3 linked regions of the Macaca mulatta genome follow. The protein of the gene in region 3 interacts with the protein of the main gene of each other region in a biochemical or structural test. Links are inferred from orthologs where the notes say so. Each region holds a gene or a part of one and is shown on either strand. Other genes may lie near its edges.

Evidence for each region.
Region 1: the proteins of MAPK3 (region 3) and PTPRR form a complex in vitro, tested with the Homo sapiens proteins (2 studies listed by BioGRID). The link is inferred for Macaca mulatta from reciprocal best matches to the Homo sapiens genes MAPK3 and PTPRR.
Region 2: the proteins of MAPK3 (region 3) and PTPN7 form a complex in vitro, tested with the Homo sapiens proteins (3 studies listed by BioGRID, with this or other methods). The link is inferred for Macaca mulatta from reciprocal best matches to the Homo sapiens genes MAPK3 and PTPN7.

What each region holds. Positions count from the first base shown.
Region 1 is NC_133416.1:77,740,089-77,743,741, forward strand, and holds the end of PTPRR (receptor-type tyrosine-protein phosphatase R), read right to left. Parts: intron 3,027-3,653; coding exon 2,913-3,026; intron 753-2,912; coding exon 656-752; 3' UTR 531-655; downstream 1-530. UniProt on the Homo sapiens protein: Sequesters mitogen-activated protein kinases (MAPKs) such as MAPK1, MAPK3 and MAPK14 in the cytoplasm in an inactive form.
Region 2 is NC_133406.1:59,817,421-59,820,019, forward strand, and holds part of PTPN7 (tyrosine-protein phosphatase non-receptor type 7), read right to left. Parts: intron 1,672-2,599; coding exon 1,509-1,671; intron 1-1,508. UniProt on the Homo sapiens protein: Protein phosphatase that acts preferentially on tyrosine-phosphorylated MAPK1. Plays a role in the regulation of T and B-lymphocyte development and signal transduction.
Region 3 is NC_133425.1:28,437,422-28,441,174, reverse strand, and holds the start of MAPK3 (mitogen-activated protein kinase 3), read right to left. Parts: upstream 2,870-3,753; 5' UTR 2,801-2,869; coding exon 2,631-2,800; intron 1,607-2,630; coding exon 1,424-1,606; intron 1-1,423.

The sequences.
Region 1 (3,653 bases), on a different chromosome or scaffold from region 3:
CAACCAAAAAATGGTAGAAGCCGGGATGTAAACTCAGGCAGGCAATCTTTTTCCAGAGCCCAGAATGTTAACCGCCATGATGAACTGCTTCGAGAATTTACATGCTAACAGAAAGGGAAAATAAGAAAGAAACAAACAAACGTAGTAGAAAACAAAGAGGGAAGATACCAAACGTAGTAGAAAACAAAGAGGGAAGATACAAAGACTTAGAGGCTACTGTTTAAAAGGAGGCAAGAACATTATGGATGGGAAGGGAAAAATTAATCCAGACAGGGAAATTTGAATTTTTTTTTTTTTAGAGATAAGAGAAACTTCACAGATAATTTAAATAATAATAAAGATGATAATAACATAATAAACATTTATTGAGGGCTTCCTATGTGCCAGACCCTATTCCAAGTGCTTTATATAAATTATCTCATTTTTCAGAATAATCTTGTCTTTTTTATTGAAATCCCAGGACATAGTACATAGTGCTCAAAGCATATTTGTTGGAAAAGAAATCTTGAAAGGTAATTATATGGCCTGGCATAGTGGCTTATACCTACAATCCCAGCATTTTGGGAGGCCAAGATGTGAGGATTGTATGAGTCCAGGAGTTCAAGACTGGCCTGGGCAACATGGCAAAACCCCGTCTCTACAAAAAATACAAAAATCAGCCCAGTGTGGCACATGCTTGTAGTCCCAGGAAGTCGAGGCTACAGTGGGCCATGATCACGCCACTGCACTGCAGCTTGGGCAACACAGCGAGGCTGTCTCCAGGAAAAAAAGAAAGGTTAGTGTATAATTTTATCTTTTTAAGAAAACTCTAGGTCATAGGGCTAAAGCTCAAAGGACTCAATGCCTGTGTCCCTCTTTGTTTTATTACTTCACAGCATTTATTTCTGTCTGAAATTATCTTGGTACATTTTGCTTGTTTATTATCTTTTTCTGCTAGCATATAAATTCTCAGAGAGCAGAAAATCCTTGTTTAATGCTGTATTCGCAGCATCTAGACCAATGCCTAAGGCATATGAGGTGATGAGTAAACATTTGCTGTTTGTTGTTTGTTTTTAGAGACAGGGTCTCACTTTGTTGCTCAGGCTGGTCGCAAACTCCTGAACTCAAGGGATCCTCCTGCTTCGGCCTGCCAAAGTGCTGGCATTACAGGCGAGAGCCACCACACCTAGCCAACAACTCTTGTTCCACTGTAGTACACTGAATTACTGAGCAGAGATGCTTGCTGCTTATCGTTTTGTGCCTTCTCTGAAGCAGCATCTGTTCAGTTTCTCCACCACTAACTCAACCGTCCATTTACCCAGGCAGGCTTAGTTGTGGATCAAGGAAGAAGAGAAGTTTCCTGTTTATCTTGTTTTCAAAACGAACAGAGGTTATAACAAAGGTGATCAAACCGTATCTCTATAAAATGACTCTTCCGTCTCACCCTCATAAGGATGGCTACTATCCAAAAAAGCAAAGCAGAAAATAAAGTGTCAGTGAAGATGTGGAGAAACTGGAACCCTCGTGTGTTGTTGGTGGGAATGTAAAATGGTGCAGCCACTGCAGAAAACACTATGATGGTTTCCTCAAAAAACTAAAAATAGAATTCCATATGAGCCGCCAATCCCACTTTTTGGGTGTATACTCAAAAGAACTGAAAACGGGGTCTTGAACAGATATTTGCATACCCATGTTCATAGCAGCCATATTCACAATAGTCAAAATATGGACGCAACTCAAGCGTTCATCAATGGATGAATGGATAAACAAAATATGTGACCTAAAATGGAATATTACTCAGCCTTAAAAAGGAAGGAAATTCTGACACATGCTACAACATAGATGAACCTTGAGAATATTATGCTAAGTGAAATAAGCCAGCCACAAACAGAGAAATACTGTATGACTCCACTTACATAAAAGGTGCCTAGAGCGTTTAAACTTACAGAGACAGAAAATAGAATGGCAGTTACCAGTTGGGCTGAGGGAGGAATGGGGAGTTTTTTAAATGGGTACTGAGTTTTTCAGCATGAAAAGAACTCCAGAGATTGGTTGTACAACAATGTGAATGTACTTAACCCTAATAAATTGTCCACTTACAAATGGTTAGGATGATAAATTTTGCCATGTGTATTTTGTCACAATTTAATAAAAACATTAAAAAATAACTTTGGGGGCCAGATGCAGTGGCTCTCAACTATAATCCCAGCACTTTGGGAGGCCAGGGAAGGAGGATCCCTTGAGCCCAGCCATTCTAGACCAACCTGGGCAACACAGTGAGACCTTGTCTCTATAAAAAAAATTAGCCATGTGTGGTGGCGCTCGCCTATAGTCCCACCTACTTAGGGGGATGAGGTAGGAGGACCACATGAGCCCAGGAATTCTAGGCTGTAGTGAGCCATAATCACACCACTGCACTACAGCTTGGGTGACAAAGTGAGACCCTGTCTCAGAAAAATAATAAATAAATAAATAACTTCAGGCCAGGCATGGTGGCTCACGCCTGTAATCTCAGCACTTTGGGAAGCCCAAGTGGGAGAGTCGCTTGCAGTCAAGAGTTCAAGAACAACCTAATATAACAAGACCCCATCTCCACAAAAAACTAAAAAAATTAGCCAGGCGTGGCACACACCTGTAGACCTAGCTACATGTGGGGGCTGAGGTGCAAGGATTGCTTGAGCCCAGGAATTTGAGGCTGCAGGGAGCTGAGATTGCACCACTGCACTCCGGCCTGGGTGACAGATCAAGACCTTGTCTCAAAAAAGAGAGAAAAAAAGGCTTTTTAATATAATGCATATACTTAAGCATTTTACAAGTATCTCTACAGAGATACAGGACCTTGGAGCCTGGGATGTTTATGTGTGAAATCAGGCTGATGAGATCAGGCTGTGAATGACAACAGTGCTCTGAAGGCAAGCCTCTGTGACACTCACCTATCCATACGAAGCTGACAGACAATGCTTAGTGCATCCACAACTCCTTCTTCTTTCAACTGTCGACAGCCAATGGATGTAGCAATAAAACACCCCGTTCTACCTATTCCTGCACTGAAAAGAAAAGAAAAGAAAATTAAAAAGTGGAGGAAAATGACAAAGATAAGAAACATTCTTTTACAAGGGTACTTTTAAATCTGAAGCCAGAGTTAAAAGTAGTATTCATGTATTGAGTATTATAAACCTGGCCCTGTGCTAAGTCCTTAAAATATATTTTTACATTTAATTATAAGTAGTAGGATGAGAGGGGTGGAGGGAAGTGATGAGTGGGGGGGACAGTAAAAAGGCATTATAATTGTTCTAGAAAAAATAAAAAATAATTAATGTCTGCACTTAGGCAAGATACAGGCAGTAGAAAGGAGGGGGAAGATTTAGACACATCACCAGTGTGAATCTGGAGGACTGGAGCTGAAGAGGGAGAAAAGCAAAAAGTCAAAGATGACTAGGCTTGGAGAGAAAGAATGGTGATGCCCTGAGGCCAAAGCGCATCCTAGAATAGGGTGAATTTGAAGGAGGCAGGGAAGGGGAGTTTGATCTTGGACATACTGATGTTGAGAAGTCTAGTGAATAATTGAGCAATTGAAGACTGGATTCATTTTAGGAGAGGGTACAGCTAGAGGCACATATTTCCAAGAGATTTGTATAGACATAATAATTGAACAGAAATACTGCCTGTCCTGT
Region 2 (2,599 bases), on a different chromosome or scaffold from region 3:
AAGTCCTGACTTTCTCAAAGAACATGCCAACTCCTTTGCCTGTGTTAATCTTTTCTTTTTCTTTTTTTCTTTTTTTTTATGAGACAGTCTCACTCTGATACCCAGGCTGGAGAGTTGTGGTATGATCTTGGCTCACTGCAGCCTCTGCCTCCTGGGTTCAAGTGGTTCTCCTGCCTCAATCTCCTGAGTAGCTAGGACTGTAGGTGCCTGCCACCATGCCCAGCTAATTTTTGTATTTTTAGTAGAAACAGGGTTTCACCATGTTGCCCAGGGTGGTCTTGAACTCCCGACCTCAAGTGATTGGCCCATCTTGGCCTTCCAAAGTGCTAGGATTACAGATATGAGCCACCATGCCCCGCCACCTATATTCATCTTTTCTACTTGCTACTCCTCCTTGCTGACCCTCAGATTTACTGTGAGAGGAGTCCTCTGCCCCTTACACGTGCTGAGGGGTGATGCCCCGTGTTGACGCTTGGTCTTCCTTGATTCACTCAGCTCCTGGGACAAAACCAGACCTCTGAAGCCTTGAGTCGGGCCAGGAATACTCCTGAGCCTCAAGTTTCCTTCTTTCTAATAATCTTAAAAGTAAAAATAATGATTCCATACATTTGTATAATAGTTTCCATTTCCAAAACACTTTCATATAAGTTAACTCATTTCTTACAACAGTTTTCTGGGGGAAGGAGCCATTATCTCTCTCTAGATAAAGAAGTGGGGGCTGGGCACAGTGACTTAAGCCTGTAATCCCAGTACTTTGTGAAGCCAAGGGGGCATTGTTGAGCCCAGGAGATCGAGACTAGTCTGGGCAACATAGTGAGACCCCATCTCTATTATTACAAAAAGAAGAAAGAAAGGAAAAAAAAAGAAATGGGAGCTCAGAGAAATCTAGTGACATCTCAGTGAGACAAAAGTTGGAATCTGAACACTGGCTCTGCCTCAACCCAGTGAGCTTCTTTGCACTACTTGTTGCCTCATATCATGTTTAATTCCAGGGCTCCAAGCCAACTTTCCAGATAGATATTCTTTTTTTTTTTTTTTTTTTTTTTTTTGAGACAGAGTCTTGCTGTGTCACCCAGGCTGGAGTGCAATGGCACAATCTTGGCTCACTGCAACTTCCACCTCCTGGGTTCAAGCAACTGTCCTGCCTTAGCCTCCTGAGTAGCTGGGATTACAAGGGCCCGCACCAGGTCCAGCTAATTTTTGTATTTTTAGTAGAGACAGGGTTTCACCATGTTGGCGAGGCTGGTCTCGAACTCGTGACCTCAGGTGATCCACCCACCTCAGCCTGCCAATGTGCTGGGATTACAGGTGTGAGCCACCGCGCCCGGCCATCCAGATAGATATTTTTTGCTGGTTGTTAGTTGCAAAATAAACAGCTCTAAGCAGAAAGGGTTTCTTCCTTTCTTGCAGGAGTGCTTGATGGTGATGGGCCTATCAGGGCTCTGGGGCCCAGAGGCACTGATGCCCCCCATTAACGTTGTTGGCCTTGTTTACACCCACAGACCCACCTGTCTAGCCGCAGTTGGCACACAATGCCCAGAATGTCCACTTCCCCTCGGGCCTTCAGCTGTTGACAGCCAATTCGCGTGGCGATGAAGCAGCCTGTCCGGCCAATCCCTGCACTGAAGATAGCCAGGGAGGGGACAGGGAGGTCATGGGAGACAAGGGAATCTAAGAGCCAGGCCCCAAACCATGGAGAAAGAAATGGGACCTGCAGGTGCTGTATTTTGGGGATAGGACTCTGGAGATGGGGGCAGGTAGAGTACTTCGGATTCCAGTCCCCTTGGGGACCCTGCTGGAGGCAGGTTATAACTGGCACGGGAGGAGTTTACATTTCTTACCAGCCTCACTGTAAGCCTGTTGCAGGCCACCTTCTGGTCCCTGTGGACGTTTTGATGATCTCCACTCTGCTGAGCATCTACAGCAGTTTCCAACAGACAGTTCCCCACTTGTGGGCGTGCTGACCCTTGAGCCCTCCTTATCTAACCTTGACTTCCTCTCAGCTCAGACTCATCTTCCACGCAGCCCATGCCCGGCCCCTCTGTTTCCCACCTTGGCGCCCTCCCACAGTCTTCTCTCCGCTCTGCTCTGCTTGCTCCATCGTGCCCTCTGTTTATTTCAAAACTCCCCAGGCCTCCTGTTCCTCTTGCGTGAGCCTCTAATGACCTCCCTGCACATGTCCCACTGCTACCTGTGGGTGGGCTGGGAAGGCCCTGTGTCATGCTTTTTGCCTCTGTGCTCTGTTTTATTTAGGATATGCACTCCCAAATGATCTCTTTCTTTAGTCTTATCCCCTACGATACCCTCTCACTCCAGCCCAATCCATTTTTCACTCTATAGCCAAAGTGTTATTTTACAACCAAGTGTCTTAGCCAGTCCTACAAGGCCCCTCATCATCTGACCTTCACTGGCCTTCCAAACCCATCTCTCATCATTACCCCACACATAACCTCTGGGCCCAACCTGTAACCCTGCTCCCAGCAGTGTATCCATTTTCACATTTCTTCTCTGGGCCTTAGTTAGCATATGCTGTTCCACCTGCCTGGAATGTGTTCCCTTCCCTCTCTTCGCTTGGCTAATTCACCGTTCAGGTCTTAGC
Region 3 (3,753 bases):
ACTGAGAGTGGGTGGGTGGGGTAGGGAAGAGGTGACAGGTGTCACAAGTTGCTAAGGAGAGCCAGACAGGAAGTGGACAGCAAACTAGGAAAGCAGTATCAGGGGAGGACAACAAAGGCTAGGCTGTCCCTCCCTGGGCAAGGTGCAAGTCCACAGGTGATTAGGGTGTGGCTCTGAGTGAGAAGTCCTAAGAAGGACAAGTTTCCATCTGGGGGAGGGGAGGAGGAGACAGCAACAGAAACACTTGATTTTAGGTTTTCTGGGCCTCAGCTTCTTCATTTTTTTTTTTTTTTTTTTGAGACAGGGTCGCGTTCTGTCCCCCAGGCTGGAGTGCAGTAGCACAATCATAGCTCATTGCAGCCTTGAACTCCTGTGCTCAAGCCATCCTCCTGCCTCAGCATCCCAAGTAGCTGGGACTACAGTCATGCACCACCAAAGCTGGATAATTTTTAAATTTTTTGTAGAGATGGGGTCTCACTATGCTGCCCAGGCTGGTCTTGAACTCCCAGCCTCCACTGATCCTCTGGTCTTGGCCTCTAAAGTGTTGGAACTACAGACGTAAGCCATTGCACTCTGCCCTCATCTTTGAAATGAAGCTGCAAAGCCTATCTCATAGGGTAGTTGGGAGGTGTAATAGAAAAAAAAAAAAAAAGCATTGGGCATGTATAGTACCTGACACGCAGTAGGACCTCAAGAAAGGCAGTTTTTTTGTTTTTGTTTTGTTTTGAGACAGAGTCTCACGCTGTTACCCAGGCTGGAGGGCAGTGGCACGATCTTGGCTCACTGCAACCTCCGCCTCCTGGGTTCAAGCGATTCTCTTGCCTCTGCCTCCCAAGTAGCTGGGATTACAGGCATGCGCCACCACGCCCTGCTAATTTTTTTGTACTTTTAGTAGAGATAGGGTTTAACCATGTTGGCCAGGCTGGTCTCCAACTCCTGGCCTCAGGTAATCTGCCCACCTCAGCCTCCCAAAGTGCTGGGATTACAGGCATAAGCCACCATGCCCAGCTGACAGTTTGCTTTCTCCCTGTCTCCCTTCCAGTCTGGGGAAGGAGGAAAGAGAGGAAAGAACCATCCATTTGTTAGCAAGAAGTGACTGTGGGCAGAAGCTGGGTCATGTCTCAGAACTGCCGATGTCAGAAGACAACACTCCCATAGAGACCATCCTGTCTAGCCCTCCCCCTTGGGGCACAGAGCAGAGAACTGACTTGCTCAAGGCCATATTGCCCGGCTGCAGCAGGCCTGGGTTCATCAGAGGCCTCTAAGTCCTGTTACACTGTGGCTTCTCCTCTGCAGGAAAGTTTATTTTACTGGGTTTGTTTTGGAGGGTGGTGGGTAAGATGGAAACAGAAAGCAAGCAACGGGTCCCCAGCCCAGCTCCGAGGCTGTGTATGACCAGCCGACTGGGCAAGGTGAAGGATACACATCCCTCATGGCTTCCAGGGTGGACGCACGCAGAATGTCTCGGATGCCGATGACATTCTCATGGCGGAAGCGCAGCAGGATCTGGATCTCCCGGAGCGTGCGCTGGCAGTAGGTCTGATGCTCGAAGGGGCTGATCTTCTTGATGGCCACGCGAGTCTTGCGCACGTGGTCATAGGCCGAGCTGAGGGGACCGGAGAGAGGCTGCTGCTGTGGCCTTACAAAGGGGGAGTCCGGGCCTGGTGGCCCCACCCAGGCCTTGGCAGGGAGGGGAGAGAGCAGGAGCTGGCTCTGGTCAAATCATAAACAATGCTGGTTCCTTCCTGCTGTGTAGGGCTGGGATCTCCAGAGAGAAAGCTGGGGACCAGCCAGGCGGCCCTTCGGTGACTTTACAAACAGAGGAAGAGACTGACCGCTCACTGACTTCCCCTCTCCTCAATCCCCTTCCATTCTACTGGCCCTGAACCCTTCGCCCCCATTCCCAGGAAAGGTTCCTTAACCCAAGACAGGTCCGGGGGTGCAGATGCTGGGGGCACACCATGGAGCAAATACTGGGAAAACGGCAGCCAGGGGAGGGGCAGGAGAGAATGGACAGGGCAGGGGCGGGTCCTAGGGTGAGGGAAGCGGGCAGCAGGGCTGTCCCAGAGCTCACGGTGGGGCCGGGGGCACTCACAGACCCCTCCCAAAACATGCAAGTGGCACTCCTGGCCCCCTCATCTCTCTTTGGGCACCTGGTGGTGGTGGTGGTGGGGCCAAAGCCCTGCCCCACCCTGATCTCGGCTCGTCTACCCCAGGCTCCCTGGCACTGCCTCACAGGGGGAATCCAAAACACCCTTTCCCCCAAAACGGGCCCTCCACTGCCTCTTCACTAAGGATGTCGCCTCCCCGAGAGTACTCATCCTCTGGGCCTCGCCCCGTGTCACTAGGGTCCCCGCGGGCCCCCACATGCACTCAGATGCCCCTCCCATCATTACAGAAGGGTGGACTCAAAGCCTCCAAGCCCCCTCCCCTGAGGACGCAGGCAGCGCCCTCTCCCCTAGAAAGCACTCAGGGGTCCCCTCCCTGGGACGCTCCCGATCATCCCGAGTCCCCTGCCTCCTCGGGACGCTCCGCGTCTCCACGTCCCGGAAAGCGCTCGGCGCCTCCCCCTCCTCTCCTGTGAAGCCCCCTCCCCTGAGGGCGCCCCCTCCCCCGGAACGCCCCCTCACCTGACCATGCCGTACGCGCCCTCGCCGATGTACTGCAGCTGCGTGTAGCGCGGGCCCACGTCGAACGGCTGCCCCTTCACCATCTCCACCTCCCCCGGGACCCCCGGGCCGACCCCCTCGGCTCTCCGGGGCTCCCCACCCCCGCCCCCCTGAGCCGCCGCCGCCGCCATCTCCACTCCTCCCCTCCCGCCGCCCTCCTCCCCCCGGCGGCCCCGCCCGAGGCCCCGCCCCTTCCCGCCCGCCTGTCACCCGCAGGGCCGCGCGCTCCAGGCCCCGCCCCTGCCCCGGCCCCGCGCGCCCCCGGCCCCGCGCGGGCCTGGAGCCGTCACGTGACCCACCCCGGGCGCGCGCCCGCCCTTCTCGCCCTAGGTGCGGGAGCCCGGGGGTCTCTGCTGGCTCCGCGGTCACCAAGTCACGGGGAGGCTCGGCAGCGCCGCCTCGGAGACTGTCCTCACCCTCCTCTCGAAGGCGAAGCGGCCAGGGCGTGACCTACCAGAGCCACCCAGCCAATGTGTGCGGCAGCCCACCAGAACCTGGGCCCGAGATCACCCTAGGTTAAAAAAACTGTTCTAATAAATGAATCAAATTTTACAGATGGGGAATCTGAGAGTTGGGCTAACTAACTTGAGTAAGGTCACTAGTAATGACAGAGCTGAGACTCAAAATGATGTCTTCTGACAGAGGCTCTTTTTAATTCCATGCCTCTCAGAATCCTAGACTGTTTTTATTTTATTTTAGAGACAGGGTCTCACTCTGTCGTCCAGGCTGCAGTGCAGTGGTGCAATATTTACTGACTGCATTCTCAACCTCCTTGGGGTCAAGTGATCCTCCTACCTCAGCCTCCCAAAGAGCTGGGACTATGCGTGCGCTCCACCACGCCCTGCTAATTAAAAAAAAAAATTGGGGGACTGGGCACTATGGCTCACGCCTGTAATCTCAGCACTTCTGGAGGCTGAGGAGGGCGGATCACTTGAGGACAGAGTTGGAGACCAGCCTGACCAACATGGTGAAGCCCTGTCACTACTAAAAATACAAAACTTAGCTGGGCATGGTGGTGGGCGCCTGTAATCCCAGCTCTTCAGGAGGCTGAGGCAGGAGAATTGCTTGGTACCCAGGAGGTGGA